Struthio camelus: one gene and its partner. The protein of the gene in region 2 purifies or fractionates together with the protein of the main gene of each other region. This does not show direct contact. Links are inferred from orthologs where the notes say so. Each region holds a gene or a part of one and is shown on either strand. Other genes may lie near its edges.

Evidence for each region.
Region 1: the proteins of ZC3H4 (region 2) and WDR82 purify together in Homo sapiens (affinity purification with western blotting; 4 studies listed by BioGRID and IntAct, with this or other methods). This does not show direct contact. The link is inferred for Struthio camelus from reciprocal best matches to the Homo sapiens genes ZC3H4 and WDR82.

Annotation. Positions count from the first base shown.
Region 1 is NC_090955.1:22,933,699-22,945,148, reverse strand, and holds the start of WDR82 (WD repeat-containing protein 82), read left to right. Parts: upstream 1-7,034; 5' UTR 7,035-7,287; coding exon 7,288-7,448; intron 7,449-11,450. UniProt on the Homo sapiens protein: Regulatory component of the SET1/COMPASS complex implicated in the tethering of this complex to transcriptional start sites of active genes.
Region 2 is NC_090957.1:303,962-315,278, reverse strand, and holds the start of ZC3H4 (zinc finger CCCH domain-containing protein 4), read right to left. Parts: upstream 5,039-11,317; 5' UTR 4,707-5,038; coding exon 4,546-4,706; intron 1-4,545. Other genes in the region: SAE1 (SUMO-activating enzyme subunit 1), read left to right, coding at 5,388-5,488, 8,000-8,111, 9,752-9,925. UniProt on the Homo sapiens protein: RNA-binding protein that suppresses transcription of long non-coding RNAs (lncRNAs). LncRNAs are defined as transcripts more than 200 nucleotides that are not translated into protein.

The DNA of each region.
Region 1 (11,450 bases), on a different chromosome or scaffold from region 2:
CACCGGCACAGCGGCGCGCTGAATTTGGCACATACCCATTAGCTCTGGAGCGCTCGGCGTGCAGCTCCGCTCCCCGTCAGCTCTGATTAGGCACAGCGGGCGCACCAGAGGCTCCCCTTGGACTGGGGGTGCTGCTCATGATGTCACAAATCCATTTTTATGTAATTTATTTATACGATCTCAGGCACCGGGTACTGAATGTCATTAGGGAGCAGCTATAAATCAGGGCTACGAAATCCACTGCCCATATTAAAAAATAAAATCCTTACTCATTTCGCTAAGGCTTTAAAAACAAGATCAAGGGAACTGAACATCACCCCACACCCATGCGCAGGCAGTCTTGGAAAGAAAAATAATCCAAATGGCAGCTCTCAGACTACTGCCAGGGATGGTGGGTCTAGAAATAATGTAATTGCCAGAGTTAGCTGCTCTGTCTAGCACATGGGGAAATTACAGTCTCACATCCCTGCCTTCTCCTCTCCCCACTGCTGCCTGGGAGAAACCTGGGCTAGGAGAAGGGGCTGGTGATGTGACTCGCATTGCTTCGCGCACCAGCTAATCTTAGTTTCCCAGTGCCCCGGGGAGCTCACAGAGAGATGAACAAACCCTCTTCCATATGGACATAAGGCTGCATACTACAGGCACTAGGGCGGCTCAGATTTTACCCCAGCCCTTTGTCCCTGCTCGGGACAATTTGGGGTTGGGAGAATATCCTTTTGGAAAGTTTTCCAGAAGTTCACATTAACCTTAGGAGGAAAATGATGCTGAGAATCACCTGTTCCAAAAAGACAGGAGGACTGCAAGGGTTTTAGATTAATCCCCTTTAAATGAAAACTCCCTCAGCTGTTGTTAATGAATAATGTTTGCCATCTACATTCCTGTTTGCATGCATTACCATTATAAGCGTGAGTGCCCTTTCTTCACAGGGCTCCTCCTAAGTCTGCAGTAACTTCCACTGTTAACTCCCACAGCAAAAGGCAGCAAACACCTAGCTCCTGATTTTTCACCTTCTCTGGGAAAGAGGGAGGGAGAGGAGCTGGAGTGTGCTAAAATATAGGCAAAACACTTGTTGGCACTATCTTTCATTAACTTTTTAATTAAAGTAATTCCGCAGGCAAGGAGCCAAAGTCAGAAGGAGACAGGAACAATCCAGCACCAGGGGCAGAAACATGGTAAGCTGCCAGGTAAATTGGATGGTGGCATGAGACCAAAGGCATGGACACAGGGAGGCATAGCCTGAGCCGTAAAGCTGGACTCACACTGTGGAGGAAGACAGTGCACAAACGAGCTGGCTGTGCCTATGCAATGAGAAAAATGAGCCAGCCCTTCACTCCACAGCAGGTATTTGAAAGTCAGAAAAATACTCCCTTCCAGGGGCCAGTCTGCCATTGCTGGGCAGAGCTGTGTTTGGAGGGTCTTTTTCTCAAGAGTCTGCATTATGGGCTTGTGGGGGTTTTTTTTGAAGTCAAAGCAATCGGGCTTGCTGCAGGCTGACCCAGTCACATAGCCCCACGGGCAAACGTGCTGCAAGGTCTGCGGACGTTGAATATTAACGTCCCGGGAGGTCTAATTTAGCTGCTGTCTTCATGGATCTAAGTTGGTTTCTTCTAATCGTCACTGGGATTTCTCTGGATTTCCCCCAATGTGGCAACGATTGGTGGCTGGCCCACCATGTACAGAGCCGACCCCAAAAATCTCTGAGGGGACCAGAAAGCACTTGAGATGGCATTGGATCAAACCCCAATTGTTCAAGCATAATTTGAGCAGAAGACAGATTACATCCCTGTTACAGTAGTAGAAGAGTAGTTATAGCAAGTCTTAGCAGAGTCTCCTGCTACTCGTTTTTCTTGCTACGTGACTTTCTTCTGGCCTCTTGGTATCTAAATTACCATTAGACTCATCAAGGCTTAGCTCTTCCATTTTCCATGCATTATCACGGGAGTTTACCTATGGAGTACAACAGAGTCCAGATTTTACTGCACTGACCTCCCACGTTCCCATTTACTGACACGTCTCTTCTATCACTTGATATATCAAATTTAATTCGCTTGGTGAGCCTTGCTCAGACTCAAACTTGCTGCCTCAGATGGTCCCAAAAGCATTTATGAGAAAGTTTGCCGGGAGATGCACAGGACCCAGGAGGAAAACAAGAAGATGAAGGTTTGTTCTAAGTGACTATTCTAGGAGGATTAGATGGGGGATTTTTCAAGACTAATCTCTTCAAATAAAAATCTTAGAATTTGATTATTTTTTAATCCGCACATGGATTTGCATAAAATTACCACACTGTCTCATTCACACTTTGTAAAAGATAAAATATCTGCAGGTGGGAGGGACCAACTGATCACCGCTCAGATGCGACGAGTCCCGTGCACGAGCGGGTGTGCAGGGGCTTTCCCCTCTGTTCACCGTGGCACTCCTGCAGCGGTCACTGGGAAAGAGGATGACGGTGGGCAGAAGTGGTACCATTAGAGCAGAGAGCTCCATAGCAGGTTTGCTAGGCCAGCAAGAGAGAAAGGATGGAGTCCGAGTATCTTTGTTCGAGAATATGCTGAGCTCTGGAAACCCAGGAGTCCTAATTTCCAATACACTGTTTTCTGTATGTTTCTTGGAGAAGAAATATGTTGCTCTCATGACTGATTTGCTCACCAGGAAAGTGTCAACAAGGTCTCTTTGCCTTTGATGGGGAATGTAGCCTAAGGCCAAACACAGGGAAGATAAGTGTTCTGCTCAGCATTTTTTATATATATAGATCAGCATCATTAGCAAAAAAAATTAACTACATTTGACATATGCCTCTTACTAGTTTTTCTAGGTCACACTCCCTTCACTCCCTATATACCTTTTGAAAATGATTTTCCCATGTGCTGGGGATTGTGGGGAAGAAAAAATTTTGACCAGAAAAATCCTTCTGTAGTTCAGTGCGGAACAGTACTACCCTGAAGCCAAGTCCGTGCCAAGTCTACTTCCTTTCATGCTGCAATTCCTCAAGCTCCCTATTCCGAGTCAAATTGCAGTCAAAGTTGACAGTCATTTAAAATACAGAGGAGGATCATAGCATTCTAGAGAAGATGAAAAGTTGCCAGCCTTGACGACTGGAATAATAGAAAGGGGGCGAAATTCAGTACTGCAGAATACAAGGTCATGCTCTTTGGGATTAATAGCAAAAATGTATGAGCTCTTCAGCTGGAAATGACATAAGAGGAGAAAGAGCCAGGAATATTAATCAGTCACAGGATTACAATTACAGCTGCCTTCTAGGCTGAGGTGACTGGCTATGGGAACAAGGGGAGAGTGGCAGATGTAATCTACCTTGACTTCAGTGAGGTTTGTGGCACCATTCTCATTAGCAAGCTGAAGAAATTGGGCAAATATACTGCTAGACCGGCTAAAAACCAGCTCAGCCGCTGGGCTCAGAGGGTAGAAATCAGTGGCTCAAGTGTCCAGCTGGCAGCCGGTAACGAACAGGGAAGCCCTGCGTCCATACTGGGGGTCCGTGCTTCCCACAGCTTCTTTGGTGGGATAAGCTTCTGGAGATAGCACAGAGTGCATCCTCAGTAACTTTGTGGATGACACTAACTGGGGGGAGTAGCTGACACACTGAATGGTGGAACAACCTGCCAGAGGAACCGTGATAAACTCGAGGACAGGGCCAACAGAATCCTCGTGATGTGCAGCAAGGAGAAGTGAGAAGTTTTGCAGCTGGGGCAGGACCCCCAGGCATTAAGGCAGACTGGGAACCGACTGGCTGAGTAGCAGCCCTGCTGACAAGGAGAGAGGGGGTCTGGATGAACGTCAAGGGGAATATGAGCAACCAGTGTGCTCTCCTTGCAAGTCAGTCATGCTATGGACATGGCTACCCAGAGGGGTCGTGGTCTCCCTCCTTGGAGGTTTTAAAGACTTGGCTAGACAAAACTATGGCCAGCCTGATCTTGCCTTAGTGATAGTCCTGCCCTGAGCAGAAGGGTGGACTAGGGACCTCCGGAAGTCCCTTTTACCAACACTTCTGTGATGTAGCAGCAAGGACAGGGTTGGATGATCCAGAGCCTCATGCTTATTTTCAAAAGCCCATAAAGAGGTGCCAAGTTGTGCGCCACAAGCCTTCCACACAAGCCTTCAAACCCCGTCACTCACAGAGAATCATCACCCACAGCAGAGTCCAACAAAAAAGCATTCACCTGAGCAGCGTTGTTTCAGCAGAAGCATCTCACTGAAATTCATGTCTATTCATTTGAGCAAATGCAAACACGGGACTGTTTGTATTGCGCAGGTCAGGTTACAGTGGTAGGTAACATATAAATGCATAGGTAGCATCACTGCATTTGATCAATATTAGTCAAGTAGCAATTAAACCTCTTTTCTATTAACTAGTTTTGCAGGGCCACTCTCCATAATTCCTACATAATGTGACATTTTGCTAGAAGGTCCAATTATCCTGCCAGATGAATTCCAGCTTTGTATAAACTGACAAACTAAGTTCCAATGATTAGGAAGAAAGGCAGAAGAAAGAATAAAAAGGGAGTGACAAAATATCAAATCAACAACCCACAGTGTTATACAACTCTAAAACTTGGCTAAGTATTGTAGGTGTTTTGAAGTAAATTGTCTTATGATGGTATCGATGAGTCATCTGCTGGGCCCACATGAGATAATCCAGGCTTTGATCTTATAATTTGCAGTGTGCAGGAGGAATGCTGTTCTGCACCTCTCTAACTTAATCTTTCCTTACATGAAAATATATTTTAGGTTTTGAGCTGACCTGTAATGGGGTAGCTGACCCGGAGGCCTTCCGAAGTAATGAAGGTGTCTTTTGTTGAGTCTTCGTGGACGCCAGTGTTAAAATCGTGTATTCATTTCAGAGTAAAGCTTGTTGAATCCTTCCGGCCGGCCAGTCTGATCAGAATATAAAAGAGTGAATTGGACCGGAAGCGATCTAAATCTGTAACGGTGAGCTGTAATAAAGAAACTGTAAGAGCAAGTAAGCACAGAAAAGACTTTTGTTTTAGGAAATGAGCTATATGCACACGAAATAATTAACTCTATTCCAATGACATTTAAACAGACCTTTGACGATACTTCCCAGACATGCTGTTGTTTGACCACAGGAGGGCAATATTATTCTAAAAGCAAACTCTGTTCTGGGGACTAAGAAAGGAAAATGCAGTTAACATGTACAAAGGCATCTAGGGTTGACATTTCTTTCTTTCGGTTCTAAGCTTCTTGGGGACACAAGTAATGAAAGGTTGGCTGTTCTCCTAAAATTAAAATACCGGGTTGCTGGAAATTTTAATGGGGGAATTTTAAAGATTCTCACAGCTATTGCTATACTCCAAGAACAATTCTTTAAGATATGAGAAGTCTGAAAACATGATCATAAAACCTGACATCACGACTCACGAGAGCAAGAAAGCAATTCCACTGCCTTTTTACAGGAGCACAGGCCGCAACACCCAAGACATCTCGGAAGCCCCTGGAGATTGTGCCGCTCATCCCCATCTGAAGTCCTACGCCGTCCGTTGGTATAGCACTAGCATTTCTGCAATAGTGCGGGGAGGCCAGGTCGGAGAATAAAAAATCGTGGGAAATAAGACAATGTCTATAACACTTTAACTGGAAACAGAACAGAAGAATGAGAAAAAACATCATCACTGTGCATTTTAAAGGAAAGGGGGTCTGACTCTCACAGCGGGTGCAGATAAATATGGGAGCTAAGCCTCAAGGCTAAGGAAGCGCGCTGCGGGGTAGAGCCGCGTCCTGCTCACTCCAGAGCAGGAGGCCTGAGGAGAAGCGCTCCCGTTCGGTCACCGCGGGGAGCTGGCGGGAAGCGCTGGGGCCGGGGTACAGGCTCCGCAGCTGCAGCCCACCCCGAGCACCCTCGCTCCCGTTTCCTCACCAGCAGCGGGCAGAGCAAAACGGAACAAAACCCCTAGCGAAAGACATGGCCGGTAGCGAACGCGGCAGGTTATTCGTGGAGTAAAACTTTGTCGCGGCTTTTCTGGACAAACGTCGAGGCGCGCTGCTGAAGCCGCCACGCTAACCGTCCTTCGCTTTGCACCTGTTTCACCCGCAAAACCCACACTGCCACAGCAGCTTCCCTTATGTTTTTGAGGCGGCGCCAGGCCCGAAACCCGCCATCACGTCCGGCGCGCGATGGGAGCTGCACCCCCGCAGAAGTGGGGGGGGGGAGGCGCGTAAGGCGCCACGGTCTCAGGCGGCGGGGGGCGAGCCGAAGCGGGCGGCGGGCCGGCCGCGGCGCAGCAGCGCTCCCCTGTAGCAGAGCAGCTGCGCGAGGCCGGCAGGCGAGCCGGGGCGCAGCAGGCGGCCGGGCTGCGGGCAGCGGAGCGGGACGCGCTGCCCGGGCCTGCCCGGCGCTCCCGGTGCCGGCGGCGGCGGCCCACCTGCGGCTCGAGGCGGCCGGCCGGCCGAGCGCGGCGGGAAGTGACGTTCCCCCGGCGGCGCGGACGCCTGGGGCCGCCGCCGGGCCGGGTGCGCGGGGCAGGCCCAGCGGGGCGCGATGCCAGCCCCCCTCCCCCCCCCGGCCCACGCGTTGCCCCCGGTTCGGGGTGGACGTTAGCCCCGGGGCACAGAGGAGCTGCCCCCCCCCCTCCCCGCGGGCAGCCAGGCCCACACCCCGGCTGCGCCGGCCCTGCCTGCGGCCTGCGGCCACCCCCCCCCCCCGCCCCGGGGTGTCCCTGTCCCCCCAGGCGCAGGCTGCCTGCGCCCCTCGCGCGGCCTGGGGGACCCTGGCGTTGAAGGCAAGGCTCAGCCCGTGGACCCTGTGTGCTTAGGACTACACCGGCCTGTCCCGTCCCGCCCCGGGCCCCGCCGGCCAGGGGGAGGGCGACAGCCGCCCCACGGCGGGAGGGTAGGCGCCCCTGCTGCCACACTCAACATGGCCGCCAGCCCCCACCTCCGTGCCCTTCTCTATCCCAGCAGGCCGCGCGCGCGGCCCGCCGCCTTCCCACAACGCCCCGCGGCGGCGCGCCCCCCCCTTCCCGCCCTCCATCCCACAGTGCCCCGCGCGCCGCCCCCGCCCGTTCCCGGCGCAGCAAGATGGCGGACACAATGAGGAGGAGCCGCCTCTCCGCGGCCTGACCGGGCCGAGCCCCGCCGGAGGGCGCCCCCCGCCCGCCCCGGCCCGCCGCCCCCCCCCCCCCCGCCGCCGCCGCCCCCCACCCCCGCCAAGCCGACGGGCCGGGCCGCGCCGCGCCGCGCCCGGCCGCCGCCCGCCGCCGCCGCGGGGCCCCGCCCGGCTCGCCGCCGCCCTCGGCGCGGCCCGGCGGCGGCATGAAGCTAACGGACAACGTGCTGCGGAGCTTCCGCGTGGCCAAGGTCTTCCGCGAGAACTCGGACAAGATCAACTGCTTCGACTTCAGCCCCAACGGCGAGACCGTCATCTCCAGCAGCGACGACGACTCCATCGTGCTCTACGACTGCCAGGAGGGAAAGTGAGTGCGGGCCCGGGCCCTCGGCGGCGCCGCCGCCGCCCCCCGTGCGGGATGGGGCTCCCCGGGGCGGCCGGCGGTGGCCGCTCTCTGCCCGCCGGCTGCTGAGCTTGGGTGATGTCCTTTCTTCTTTCTTGTTCTCGGGCTAAATTTAAGCTCGTGGGTAGACGGGCAGCAGTGCGTGACAGGAAATATTTATAAACGCTTAAGGTGGGGCGCGGAGGTGGGAGCACCACAGTCCTGTCAGGTTTGTCTGCTTGTCTTTGCTCGCTCCCTTCGCTAGGCCAGAGCTACTGATGGTAATTGGGTGTTGGAGCGTTTTCCTAGCTACGAGGAATGAATATTGCTTAAGGTGAGGATTTTGAATCTGGTGGCAGGTCTAGGCCTCGGTATTGTCACGGGTGGGCAAACTGACTTCTCAGGCTGGTCTGGGTTTAAATCTCAGTAAGTGAAATAGAGGCAGTTGCGGTGAGCAATGTGCAGATGTGCCATTTTAAGTAGTTAGTCCAACTGTGGCTTCTTGGTTAAGTACTTAAACTTAAAGATGAGGGTGGCATGGTATGTGTCCAGAATAACTTTCAGAAGCTCTGTGACGTCTTCATTAAAACGTAGTTTCTAAATGATACCTGGGAGTGTTGTGGGTAAAGGTGATTCTCTGTGCTTTAAATCTTAATTTTTTTCTAGTCACCTCTTCATCTATGAAGTGCAGTTAAGATACGTATGTGACTTACATGCATCTTCAGAAATTGTCTAAATTCATATTGAATCAATTAAGATGTTTACTGATTGATCTTATTTGACGTTATTAATGAATTATTAATGAATTAAGAGGTATTTATTTTTCATTGAACAGAGTTGTGCAGTTATCTTCTTTCACTGTTCATGCAATCCTCGTCCCATCTTTTGGATAAAAAGCAGTAATTCGCACAGCCCCTGAAATATGGTTCTCTTGGTCGATCAGGGGATGCAAATATGCAGACAAGGCAATCAGTAACTTTTGTAGGTTGTGTCTCGGAATGTCTGCAAAAGAAGACATTTCTTCTTCTGTAAGAGTTGGACCAAACTGAGCCAATGATGTCATTATTCCATTAAAAACTTGGTGTTTGGATAATTCAGAGTTGCTTAAAAAATGTATTTGCATGTTTACAGTATTGATTTTCAGTAAAAGCTCTAATGTGCCATAGAGGGGTGGTTACTGGGCCTGGAATTGAGCTTGGGAAACCAAAGAGACTTGGCCCTTTGGTGCATCATGTAATAATGATTTTAAAAATTGAGAATGTTGCAATCACAGCTTTTCTTTGCATGTAAGTCGTTGTGTGTTTGGCACAAGTATGTGTTTGGCTCATTTAAGTTCTTTTAAGTTGTGTTTAAGTTTTAACTTTCCTGTTGTTGTGGAGATGCACTTTTGAGTTTTGTGGGGGCTTTTGTTTTTTGGAAAGTCTTGGGGAGATGCAAGCAGGCAGCGTGACATTCACATATCAAATAAAAGAAAAAGAGGATGCAGTTTGTAGGAGAGAGAATGAATGGGGCAGCACAGCAATACAGGAGTGGAAAATAAATTGCTTAGGGAGAAGAAGGAGACAGAGGTGTCAGTGTTGCATAAGTTTTACAGTAAGCCTGGTATTCCTAGTCGTTTTGCTGTTTTCAAGCAGACCAAGACATTGCGCTTGCTGTGTTGGAAAGAATGCATTCTGCTTATTCTCTTTATTTTGTAGAATTGTTGTTGTATGTTGTTTTATACTTCTGTTTAGTTTGCTTGCTTTACAAATTAACATTCTTGCCACTCCCTGATGCAGTGAGCTTTGATTTGAGAGGAGTTAGTTTTTATTTATATAAGAATAGGTAACATAATATGAATGCTATCTGCTATGGATAGTAGTCTAGATCCTAATTACATACAGTAGTAGAAGGGCTGAGTGATGTTAATGCAGATACTATTGATTCTTCTTCCCCTTTCCAACTTGTAAAGAGCAATTTGATGGGTTGGAAGGCTTTTGGTCCTTTCATTCCTATCTCCGTCTAGTCCTGATGTATGCTTTACAGTGAAAGGATTTGTTTCAATGAAGTTTGCAGTAATAGACCATCGATCTTTTACGTCTGTGTTACAGGGCAATGAGAGCATTTTCAGCAAGGTAACCCATGTTTCAGAATGCGTTTCTCTAGCGGCTGCAAAATTAATTTGAAAGTTGCTCGTGTACTATCAATTGACTTAAAACCATAAATGTGGTTTTTAGAGATGTCTAGGGATGCGGGGCACGCTTTTTTCTCATCTTAGAAAGTTTTAGCTGTGAATTACTTCTCTACAGGAGATTCATGTGGAGATGAAAAATTGAATCTGTGAATGATTATTGTTGTGATGTGGTGGAGTTTGACAGATTCTGGCCAATAGTTAGTTTTTTTTTCCTTTTTTTCCTGTTTTTTTTTTTTAAACAAACCAATGTTTCAAGGGTCTGGATCTCTCACCTTCTTATATATATCATTCCTAATGAATCTAAGGGCTGACAGAAGGCAGTTTTCTGCCTGCTGGGTTTCAGTATAATGAGTCCTACTTCAGCAGAGGATGGCCTAAATGGTAGAACTTTTCTCAGTGTAACAGTGGCAACATTTGGGGGTTTTCATTCCTTTTATTAGGAGCTCAGCTGATAGAATTAAAAGTGCAACTTTGTTTAGTTGCACTTTAAGTATGCGCTTGCCTGGTCTGCTGTGCTTTGCTGTACCTTAATAGCCCATACAAGCAAGCCCATCTGAGGGTACTTCCATTTCTAAATGTGTTAGGCTAGTTTAAACAGCTGTGCTTAGCCAAGAAATGACAGGATAAGGTTCTCTCCTTGAAACAGACTCCCTTATAGTTTATATTTTGAGCATAGGGAACAAGCTTGAAAAATTAGTGTTCCTTTTTCATGAACGTACAATAATTTTGGAGCTGAGAGTCCACTTGTATTTCCAAACGTGTGAACAATTACTCTCGTGATTTGGACCCACTGTGTATTAACAAGTAACTTCAAAATAGATTGGCTCAAAGCATAAAACCAAGAGGCTTACCTACATCTGTTAGGGCTTAACAACGAGCTCTGAAAGCTTTCAGAAGAAAATCGTATGTTGGGGTCTACAGCAGCTCTCGATTTGGAACAAGAGGCTCGTGGTCGCAAATTTCATAATCCTGGTTTGATATAATGGTTTTCTAGCAAGCGTTTAGCTTGTATTTTAGTATATATTGATTGCATGTTATTTATGCTCAGACCAACTGGCTTTGATTGGAAATAGGGTCTTCTGTCTTTACAGCTTCTAAAATTGCTTTGGTGATACGGTCACTGTTCTGGATTCCAAGCGTAGTATGATAGAAGAATCCAGTATTTCTCTTTCTGGAGAGCACTGATGCATCTTGACTCCTGCTTAACCATAGTGTTCGGTGGACATATTAGTGAGCCTGGTTTGGTGTGACAGCTGTGTCTGTTCTACCTGTAGGGATTAAAACCAAGGCACAGACGTTACTTCCTACAGACGTTGCCTGTGTTTTGTTTATTCTTTATAGCAGACTTGACAGTTATCTCCTAAACCATTTTACTTTAGGGATATTGCTTGATTTGCAAGTGGGCTGGCTATATTAACCTTAAACTTGGACTTATGTTTAGTGATGGTGGCTTGTTTAAAAAATACGCAAGACTTGGAGTTTTCCTTTTTGTGTATTTAAATAGTAAATTACAAACAGACGGTTTTGTGTGCAAAGTTTCATGCTTCTGCTTTTGCCAGCTTCCATGGAAACTTCACCTTTCTGAAAATGAAAAAGTCACTTTCCTTCTCTTGGGTAAATGTTCTTTTGTCTATTTCTTATGTGTCTTAATATCTTTATATATGTTCTTTAATGCTTGCTTGTCTTTGGCTCTTTGGAATTGCCATCTGTATTCTCAGGTTTTTAAGGGATTGCTGCTCCCCAGTTAAATGAAAAATTAAAAAGAAAGTCAGCTGCATGTCATGGTATTTTTCAAATTCAAAGCATGCATGTGT
Region 2 (11,317 bases):
CTCTGATTTAAGGCTGTCAGAGGCCCTCCTCACTGGAGCACACAAGGCTAGGATTTTCAAAGTAACCTACACTTCCAGCTAAATGTCATTAATCACACACGTAATGCTTCAAAAACGGCTTAGCATTTGCAGATACCAGAACTGTACTCCCCCACTAACTTCCTTTGCTAAGACAGAACACGTTCTACCAAAGAAAGCATCACACCTGCACGCTCCTAAGCCTCACCTACAGAAAACTGTCCAGAGATAGAGCTCTTCTTTCACCAAAACACTGACACATTCCAGAATAACCCCAAAGGAATTGGAACTAAGCTGAACCTCTTCTTTGCTCCATCAGTGTGGCCATCTCAAATTTTATTTCAAGTGGAAATCAGGGAAAAATACATCCACCAAGAAATAAAAGAACAACCACTTTTAAGATAGCAAGGCCTCCAGAATGAGGCATACTGTGTTATATACAGACTGTTTGGACTGGGGCAGAAATCATTACAATTTATCAGCCTTTTTTAAAGCTATCTTCTACTCAGTGTTCTTTCATTATGGGACATGTATAACAAATATGTTCTATCAATTCACTAGAAAGGAAGCTTTGAGAGACATCCTTCTAGGCCGCTTAAACCTGAAATAACTTCTGACACGGACACTTCTAGTCTGCAATCAAGGCAAATTCTACTTTTATGCCCCTAAAAAGCCCACGTTTTTTGAGAGACATTTATACTAAAGGAAAGTTTCAAGCAGCTATTTAATCACAACTCAAGATTTATTTGGGAATGTGCTTGACTCAACTGCTAATTATTAATGCCATTTTTGTTTGGAAGTTGGCTCCTTCCCATTCCTACTTTTGGATCCTTCAGTGAAATCGTAAGGCTGAGCTGTGACGTCCTTTTCACTGCCACTGCAAGGCTGATGTCACAGAAACGGATATGTCAAAGGTACTGAAAAAGACACTTGGTCTGGGGTTTGCTTTAGCCATTCTTTAACTAGCACAACAAAGCCTGGCTACCAAAGGAGCAAGGCAGAGGGCAATACCTGGCTCAGCACAGATGAGAACCCTCACACTGACCTCTCTAGGTCTTCCGATTGCAGCTGAACAATTACAGATTTAAAAAATGCCCCTGAAAAAATTCTGGCATGCGCTTAACTTTACTACCAAAAGATGCTCTGGTCTCCACGGAACTGTTCACAGTACTAATGTTAAATACATGCCTCTATTTTTGCGTGATTAAAAAGGTAATCGCTAGCAAATCTGGAGTACTAAAAATGGTTCTGCCTAACTAAAAAAGGGACAAGAGTAGCAAGATACTAGAAAAAGAAACCCCAACCAAGTTTAGAGATTTGACTCCTCTTGCTAATATTTAACTATATAATAAAAACGTATATTCACTTTATGAAATTGCTTAGCCATTCCTCTAAACTTGGAAGTACAGTCCCTTAGCACTTCTGACATTAGAGCAGTTCCTGGGTCTTTCATACAGTTATACTACACTCCCTCAAAAAGCAGAAAACTAACCTAAAATTTTCCAACAGCCTACTTTTTTTCTATTTCATCTGCCCTTTCCAACTCATCCTGACATGCATAAAAATTGCTTATGACACTAATCAGCAGCTGACAGTGAAAAACCATTTGGGATTTTGATCGTATCAAGAGTGGAAGTATAAAGCACAGCATGTATGTACATTTAGTAAAATAATTTAGAGGTTTAGCAGAATAAAGCTACTAATTGAATGCATTAGGGAAAAATCCATGCTATGAGGCCCCACTCTTTCTGAACTACCAGAGCTAAAAACTTTTTGGCCAGGCCAGTAATATTTTCAAGCTCTGACGGTGGACCTTTGATGAAAGGAAAAAAAAATGTCAAGCTTTATGACTTCATGGCAAAGTTAAGCTGTAGAAGGTGGATCAGTGGATCATAAGGGAGAAAGGTCCCACTATAAACACTTAAAATAGTAACAGAAAGGCATAAAACTAAAAGACATCACTGGATATTGTTTTATGTTTACTGCAGCATGAAAACCCCTTTCTAAAACACAATAAAATTTGTAACAAAAAGTCCTCTACTTATTTTCTATAACGAGTGCTTGCATTATTTCATAGTCAAGGTTTTAAGCAGATGTATACACTTTTTTTTTTTTTAGTGAATGAATTAAAAACAAGAGGGAAACAAAACAGTACAAATTCACACAACTGTGTTTGTGTGCTTACAGGAAACTAACATCGCTTCTTCCACCCGTGAAAATGTAAACTGGATGAAATACTCCAGGGCAAAAGTGTGTGTTTTTGCTCTACATGAAAGAATAACCTAAGAGTCAAAAATAATATGCTGAGGGGAGAAAATACCAAATACTGTGCATGGTGTTCTTACTTATATTTTGAATCATGTAAAGAACCGTGAGGAACAAACTTGTAAGAACTTTTCATAACACACCTGCTTAACAAAGGAATAACAAAAAGAAAAGTAGAAGAAAATCCAGGACACTAAAGAGATTCTTACAAACTGGGTGCTTACACTGTACGTTGCTATTTGTCCTGCTTAAACTTCTCTAATTATCAAATATGAAACTGTACATGGGGATGGGGGAAAAATGTGTGATGACATTTGGGAAACAGTGCTTTCTTTGCCACCTTTTTTTTTTTTTTACACACTTCTGAGTTTGTTAACAAAACTTTTTAACAACTTTTCTGTTTTATGGGCAGACCTGCACCCAGGGGTAGCCTGTTTACTGTCAACGTAATGGAATGAGGATGGAGTTTGTAGACAAAGTAATGGATCCACATCCTATGTCTAGATGGCACCAAGGGTCAGAGTGGTATGACTTTTACTGAGGTATCTCAGTGCTACTTCACCAGGAAACGTCACAACAGACATATTTTGGAGTAAATTGTGTGCTTTTGTGACTTTTTTTTTAAACACTCACACTGGCAGGGTGCACAACTCTATATCAGTCAAGTCATTACAAAGGGGGAGAATTCTGCTTGGTTTGTACACACATTGTATTAACTCATTCCTTACATGAAACGTATCCTAAAGATGATCTCAGGACGTTTTTTGGTGCGGGGGAAAGAAACAAAAAGGTATAATTTAATTATTCAATAAAAGAGAATACTTACCAACCCAACCCTGCATCATAGGAAAAACAAAACTCCTTAGAGACAAAGGCATGCTAATGTATAAAAGCAGCTCTCTGTACCGCACACCTGCCTTCCAGGGGAGTGGGAAGGGGGCAAACCTCTCTTTTTTTTTCAGACAAACATATATGATTAAGCTGTTTATTTTTGTGCACTACACAATACTTTCTGGCTATAGGGTTTCCAATAAAAAAGTGCTAATAAAGTCTAATAAAGGAAACAGCTGAAGTTATGTTTTGGGGGGAGGGAGAAGGTGCTTTACATACATCTCTGAGGAAAAGAGGAAAGAGGGTTTCCTGGGGGATTTTAAACTTTTCAATACCTTGACATAATGGGACCACTTGAGATTCCAGCTGTGGAAGTGAGTCTTTCTATATAAAGGGGACGAGGGAGGGCAAACAAGGGTATCACTACTCAACACATCCCATACCATGCCAGTGCCTAGAAAGCTCCACATTGCAACCCCAGCGCCTTTCTGCCCAGGCCGCACTCCCTAATGCCCCAGCATAGCCAGGAAATTTTAAGAAGCAGCTGAAGACAAAGGGGACATTAATGAGGCCAGTGCTGCCCAAGAGAATAACGTCATTAAAGACCTCATTAAGGACCCCAGAAAGCCTTCCCCTGACCCTGCCCAGCAAGTGGGGACCCATCCCCTCGCAGCCACCCCCAGCCCAGGCTCCCTGCTCCGGCCCTCAGCCCCAACTGGGCCTGCTGCCCACCAGCCCCTGGCCTGCTCCCTCATCACGCCCCGCTGCCTGGGGCCCCCCGGCCCTGCGCTGCCCCCGGCCCCGCGCCCCCACCGGGCCCCTGCCTGAGCCCCTTCCCCTGGCTCTTCCCAGCCTCGGCCCCCTCCCCCCGGCCGCCTGGCTCTTCCCAGACCCGCTCCCCCCCCCCAAACCCCCTGGCTCTTCCCAGATCCTCTCCCCCCCGGCCCCTTCGCTGTTCCCAGGCCCTGCCCCCCCCCGCCCAGACCCCCGGCTGTTCCTAGGCCCTGCCACCACCCCCCCAAGTCCCCCGGCTGTTCCCAGCGCTGCGCTCCCCCCCCCCCCAGCTCGCTGCCTGGCCCCAGCCCTCGCTCTCGCCCCTCTCCTCCTCCTCGGCCCGGGCCCTGGGGACCCCCCGAGCGCTCCTGCACACTCTCGCCCCCAGCCCTGCGCCCCCCGGCCGGGCCTACCCCCCTGCCCGCCTCGGGCCTGCACCCCGCTAAGCCCTGGCTCCCCCGCTCACCTCAGACCCTGTCCCCCCGCCCGGGCCGGTGGCTCTCGGGCCCCGAGGACCCCCCCGCCCCGGCTGGCCCCCCACCTCCTCCCGGTCGCCCGCGGCCCGTCCCTGCCCGCCCCCCCCCAAACCTGGTCCGGCGAGCCGGACAGACAGACACAGACAGACAGAGAGGCTCTCGGGAGAGGCGGTTACTGGACCTTTCGTCCGGGCCGTGGTGGAGTTGGAGCGGCGGCGGCGGCCGGGGGAGGCTGCAGCTGCCGCTGTCGTGGTGGTGGCAGGACGGAGATGGGGGGGTGGAGTGCGGGCTGGGGGGGGAGGCGGCGGCGGCGGGGGGGACACTCGGGCTCTCCACGGCCATGGGCGGGGGGGGAGAGGGGGGAGCACACGGGGCACAGTCACTGTACAGAGCGGGGGTCGGCACGGCCCGGCTTTCCGCCTGCCCCGCACTCCACGGGAAGGCACACAAAATGGCGCCCGCCGGCACGCAGCCGCGCCGAGGCAGCGCCCCACACGGCCGCCGGAAAGGCCCGAGCGCCGCCGGAAAGGCCCGAGCGCCGCCGAACGCCCTCCCCCCTCCCCCTTCGCCGCGGCACGCACGGCCGGACGCGGAAGCAGCCGGAGGTTGCCGAAGGATGGCGGAAGCGGCCGAGCCGAAGCGCCGAGGGGCAGCGGGAGGAGGCGGAACTTTCCGAACGCAGCCGAGCGCTGGCGGAAAGTGCCGAAGAGGTCGGGCAGAACCAAGTGCACCGCGGCGGGAGGGGGGGGAGCTGCGCGAGTGAGCGCGCGAGAGGCGGCGCCGAGGCCGAGCGCGGCGGCCGCCCCCCCCGCGCAGGGGGCCGCTGAGGCGGGACGAGCCCTCGGAGCGGCTCTCTGGCGGGGGGGGATACGGGCGGGGCGCGGGGCGGCGGGGGCCGCTCGGCCCGGGGCGCTTCCCCCCCTCCCCTCCCGGCGCGCCGCGGTGCCGGGCGCCGCGCAGCGCCCGCGCGGGCCGCCAGGGGGCGCCGCCCGGGCGCGGCGGCCGTGAGGCGGCGGCGGCGGGATGGTGGAGAAGGAGGAGGGCGGCCCCGGCGGCATCAGCGAGGAGGAGGCGGCGCAGTATGACCGGCAGATCCGGCTCTGGGGGCTCGAGGCCCAGAAGCGGTCAGCGAGGCGGGGGGCGGCTCGGGGGAGGCTGTAGGGGCCTGCGGGCGGGGGGGCCCTTGTAGGTGTCGGGGGTCCCTCAGCGCTTGGGGGGGGGCGGCGGCATTTGGGGGGGCTGTATTGATTTGGAGGGGCGCTGAATGGGTTTGGGGGGGCTACAGCGTTTTGGAGGCCCCTGCAGCATTTTGGGAGGCTCTGTGGGGGTTTGGGGGCTCTACAGCGGTTTGGGGGGCCCTGCGTGGGTTGATGGGGGCCTTGCAGTATTTGGGGGGGCTCTGCAGGGGTTTGGGGGACTCTACAGTGTTTGAGGAGGCCCTGTAGTGGCTTGGGGGGGCTTGTATGGGTTAAGTGGTCCTCACAGTGTGTGGTAGGGGCCTGTAGGGGCTTGGGGGGGACCCTAATGCAGTGACCGCAGTTACTGTGGGGTATCTGCAGGAGGTTTGCAGGGGCTTGAGAAGGGTCTGTATAGCTGGTGGTGTGTATGGGGGCATGCGAGGTCTATAGGAGCCTGTGGAGGTCTAGAAGGTCTCTAGAAGTCTCAGGGCTCTGGGGAGCTGAAGAAGGAGGAGATGGGGTTGGGACAGTAGGAGATGGGGGAGGCAAGGCTTGGGGCACCTGGGAGAGGGGTTTGGGGAAATGGGGGCCCCAGGAAGGAAGCTGCCAGTTTGGGAGGCAGTGGCTGGTGTTGCAGGGGGTGGCAGGGTAGCATACGGGGTGGGAAAGTGGGAGGAGGTGCTCAGGGAGATGGTGGCAGAAGGGCAGGAGAAAAACCCTGTGGTGGCCCGGCGTGAGATGTCGATCTTTGTGCTGCTGCTGGCACCCTGAGAGAAGTTTTAAACCTCGTCTGTGGAAATCCTGGGCAGTTGCCCTGCTTGTGCACGCATCACACATGTAGGACAGTGTTGACAGAGATGTGGGAGCCCTGGCTAGCAGCTGCCTGGGAGACTGCTTGGTTCTCCAGCCACACACAGTCGCTGTGCAGCAGGCTGGTGAGAGCTGTAAGCTGTACCCCTTTGTGTGTCCCTAGTTCCTCACAGTTCCTGCACAGTTCAGGCTGGAAAATCTTACCCAAACTGGAGCCCAGTGATAATGCACGTTTGGTGAAAATCGTGCCTCCTTAGGTTGAAGATAACAAAAATATTGACCGTATCTACAAGAGAGTCTGATCCACTACTTAGTTTCTATTGTTAAAGTCTTCTCATTCATTCCCAGCTGGGATTGCCGAGCATCTGCTTCCACCTGCTGGTTCTCTGCTAAAGAGCCTCTTATTCAGCCCATATCTTCTCTGTGAGGCCTCTTCAGCTTTCAAGTTATCTTTGCAGCCCTTTACTGCAGCCTGTCCAGGTTTCTGCCAGCTTTAAATTTCTTAGATGTTACCTTGAAAATAGCAATAGTATGTGTATGGGAGAAGATGGAGCGGACCTGAAATAGGGGCACAAATATAATGGTGCTGCTAGATGCAGAGTGAAAGCAAGCATGGAAATAGACCGTGAGGCCAAAAAGCACCCATCAGTGACCTCCTGACTTAACTGACCTACATGATAGAGCCACTCTATTTAACACTCTGGATGATTACTTATTAAGGTAGTCTAAATAAACTTGATTTTGTTAGAAAAACAATGCAACCTAGTCAATCAAAAGAATGCTAAGGAAAAAATTATTTAAATTGATTTTAAAAAGCAAGGAAAGTCAGCATTCAGCTATTCTGAGAACTTAGAAATTGCATACATTAACTTGGTCTCATAATAAATATTTGCAAAGAAATAATTTCCATTAATTATATCATGCTATTAATTTTATATATATCCCAATCAGTTGGCATGTAACCCAGTGCACCTTCAGTGGGTGAGGTTGAGGTCCAGGCCTCAGCTGGACTATTAGAATTTGCTATTAGGAACCTCAAACTGTGGTGTTGTAGTGAACCTGTGAGTCCACCCCTTGTTCTCTGAAAAGCAATACGAGGCCTTATCAGTGCATACTGATTTTAGTCTCTCTTTCAAAGCTGCAAATAATCTATTTTCTGTGAATTATCTGGATTACTGACGCCCAACAGCTCCCATCTCTCTTCCTTTTCTTCCGTATCAGGTATCGTGGTTAAATCTATACCTCTACTCTTTTCCCTGATGCTGCTGTGAAACTTTCAGGTCCTGCCAGACATGTTTGGCTCTCCTGTAATGATCCTGGGCTTCTCCCATTTTGCCTGGGCCAAGTGAATATTTGGCTGTAGCTCAACTTTCCCCACGGTTCAGGACTTCTGTGAATGCCCAGCATGCATATCTGCCTCCTTAGTTAAGTTTTCCCAACTGGGAGGTGATGGTGATTTCGGAGGCAGTGGTTCCATCCCTGGTGGCAGGGATGCTACTTTACTAGCGCAGCTTTCCTCTTTGGTCATTGAATGTATTTTTCACCCTGTTGTGTTTTGTCCGTGAGCACTGTGGTTGATTCCCCTTCTCCCTGGGGACGTGGTGCTCCAGTGAAGCCGTTAACGGTGACCAAGTGTTTCCACTGCAGGTTACGAGCTTCCCGGGTGTTGCTGGTGGGGATGAAAGGCCTTGGAGCAGAAGTGGCAAAGAATCTCATCCTGGCAGGTGTCAAAGGCCTGACCATGCTGGACCATCAGCAGGTGGGAGCTTCAGGCTTCTCTCTTCCTTGTGGCTGCAGTGCTGGCCAGTGGGGGGTGAGGGGATGGTTAGCAAAGCTCCCAAAGCCTACTGGGGACTGGTAGGTGTGTGGAGGGGGTAGGGTGTCTGAGCTCGAGGACTTCTTCATTGCTTACTGGAGTAGGGGTTTTGTGGTGGGGGTGTGTGTATGTGTATGTCTTTGGGGAGGGGGTATAGGGGGCATGTAGTGTCTGTAGAGAGAAATCCCATACCCGTGCACTTTTAGTCATTGGTGCGCCTCCTTATGACAAGCATGGAATTAAATTTGAGAGAGGCATAAGCAGACTGTACTCATCTGCACTCTGTCAAGCTGAGGGCTGAGCTGCAGGCTCCCCAGTTTCTCCCCTGCTATCTTGCCTGCAGACATGTGGCTGTGTACCCTGATCTGAGAAGCCTGTTCTCATAGTCTCGCGCTTATTTCTGGGAGTGTGTGGCCTTTCTCTAGCAGGTCTCCACCCAGGCCTCTCCCCTCTATCTTGGTCTGAACAGCCCCTTTCTGTGTTTATCTAGGGCTTTGCAGGTGTTTAACAGACTGTAACAGTGTGTGAAAAGCAGCTAGGGCTCCGCTCGTGCCTCGGATCGTGCCTCGGATCGCATGGAACCCGGGCCTCTAAATAGAGTCTGTGGTTGAGCGTTTAGTCTGCCTCTGTCAAATGTGCAGCAGGTTTCTATTCGTGGTCCAGAGCCTTGTGCCCTGCAGTTCACTCTGCTGTCACAGGAGATGGGAGGCCCAGGGATGACTGAAATTGGTAGGTGCCGCACAGCGTACGAAACCCTCCTCTGCGTTTGGAAGAGGCGCAGGCAAGGATGTGTAAGGTGCTCAGGGAGCCTTCAGCAGGGTTTGAGGGATGAGCATTTGAGGGATTTTGTATGCATAGTGTTTCTGGTGCGAGTTTGTGGCAGTACTGGCTGCTCCAGGGCCAGACAGAGCCGGGGGGGGGGGGGTTGTGCAGGAGCCTCAGTTGCGGCTGCTTGTTTTTCCAGTGAGTGCAGCCGCTAGGTCGCAGTGCCGGACTGCTGCAGCCGTGGTGCCCGCTGTGGTAGCTTGGTGTCTCCTCGGGCACAAGAGGGAGCTCTGAGCTCAGGAGCGGGCGAAGTGATCTGCAAGGTCTGAGAATCGGCCTGGGAGCAAGGAGTGCAAAAAATGTGAGGGTGCTGCCTGCTGTTTGTCCTGCCTGTTCCTCTGAAAAGCGGACGTGGAGACCTCTGTTGTTCTTGAAGCAGAGATGAATACTTGGTGCAGTTGAAGGGTTATGAAGGGAGAACACGTAAGGAGGGATCCAAGCGGTCACTGTGCAATAGTATCTGCTGGAATGGTCCCATCTTAAAAACCTCAAATCTGCCCTTCCTTCCTGGAGAAGGCAGTGGTCCTATCCCTGGATCCTTCCTCCTAATGAGACTTTTCTCTGGTTATCTTGCAATGAGCCTTTTAACACTCCTGCTGCAAGGATAGCACTGGTTAGCTGTCCCTTTTCAGCTATGTGAGTTCCCATTTACAATGTATCTGCTGTAATTCTCCTGTGGGTGTTGCTGCCCTGTGTGATTCTGGGAACAGTTAACAGCACAGGGAAGACTCATCTCTCTCCATTTTCTCCTATTTCAGGTTTCTCAAGAGGACACTAGAGCTCAGTTCCTGATCCCTGTGGGTTCCTTGGGCCGCAATAGAGCTGAAGCATCTTTGGAGCGGGCGCAGAGTCTCAATCCCATGGTGGACGTGAAAGCTGATCCTGAGAACGTAGAGAACAAGCCAGAAGAGTTCTTCACCCAGTTTGATGCAGTAAGTGCCATGAGGGGAAAAGGTCAGAGGAAGAGAGACTTAGCAGTTGTTGACTTACCTACAGTTAAGTTGTATTGGTTGGTCTTAAGTTGTCTTGAACTGATTTGACTGAAGTGGTACAAATGCTTGTATGAGTGCTCCTGCATCAGTTTAAAACTGCTACAATTCAGTTGCATGCTGAGTCACCAAGGCACGTTTACATCTGTGAAAATATTTCTTCATGGTGGTTTGTATTGATATGTTGGACTCAGGAAAAAAGCTTTGAACTGGTGCTGGTGTAGCATTGTTGGGAGAGCAGAGACTAAATGGTGAGGGAATAGGAAAAAGAATTTGAGAGCAATCAGAACCATACAGGTCTTGGGACAATACCTCGCTAATTGCTCTTTTTGTTCTGGACAAGAGTGGTTACATTAGCTCAAAGTTTTGGGAGTAAAATATTGGGCTGTGTATCCTTGAGCCTCATGTAGTTGAGTTTCTGCAGAACGGCTTGCTTAGCGTGTGCATGTTTAGCTGCTTCTCAGCACAAGTTGTAATGCTGCAGTTACAGGTTGGTCTGGCTGATTGTTCATAAATGGCATCTGTTCCCCTTCTGGTCTCTGTAGGTTGCATCAGACAGTGGCTGCCTGCTGACAGCTTTCTGGGTGTGATGTGATAGTAATTCTAGTAACTGCAGTGTGCATGTTTTCCCAATTCTGCTCTCTGTGCTCATATTGGATTATGAAAATCAGACAGCAGCTTTGAAAGGAAGAAAGCAGACTGTCTTGGGAGAACGAGGAGCACATCCAGGTCTCACCGCTCATGTGAATCAACTGCCTGTTCCTGTCTTCTCTGGTTGACTGCAGGGTGTCAACCTGAAGCTGGCAGATGGGGGGGGGGGGGGGGGGAATGTAAGGGATTGTGCTTGCAGCAAGAAATAGCTGTTAAGTGGGACATAAAGCTCTCTGACTATTTAGTAATAGTGTGCCCCTGTAGGGAGCTGTTCGAGGGTATGTACCCTGCTCAGTTCCCAGGATGGGACAGGCCCTGAATTTCAATTACATGGAAAATATCTGCATTTAGCTTTGTTGCCAAATTCTTGCCTCCAGGAACCATCCTGTTTTGTCCAGAAACTTGATTCTGCTACCCCTAACCTCCTAATTATCCCTGGAGAGGAGACTCCTGGAATTACCCAGTGTTTTCATCAGAATTTAGTGTGACAGGAAGGAAAATTGATAATTGCTCTGAGTACTGTTCAGTGTCCCACTGTGAATGAAATGACAGTTCTACCTGAAACCTTCCTAACTGTCCAGGAAGGGAAGGAAGATTTCACACCCCAGCATGGAATAACAATCCCCAGCAGCTCCCCTGAGGAGGGAGGGGGTGCGAGTTGGTAAACGTTCAACTTCTGCTAAG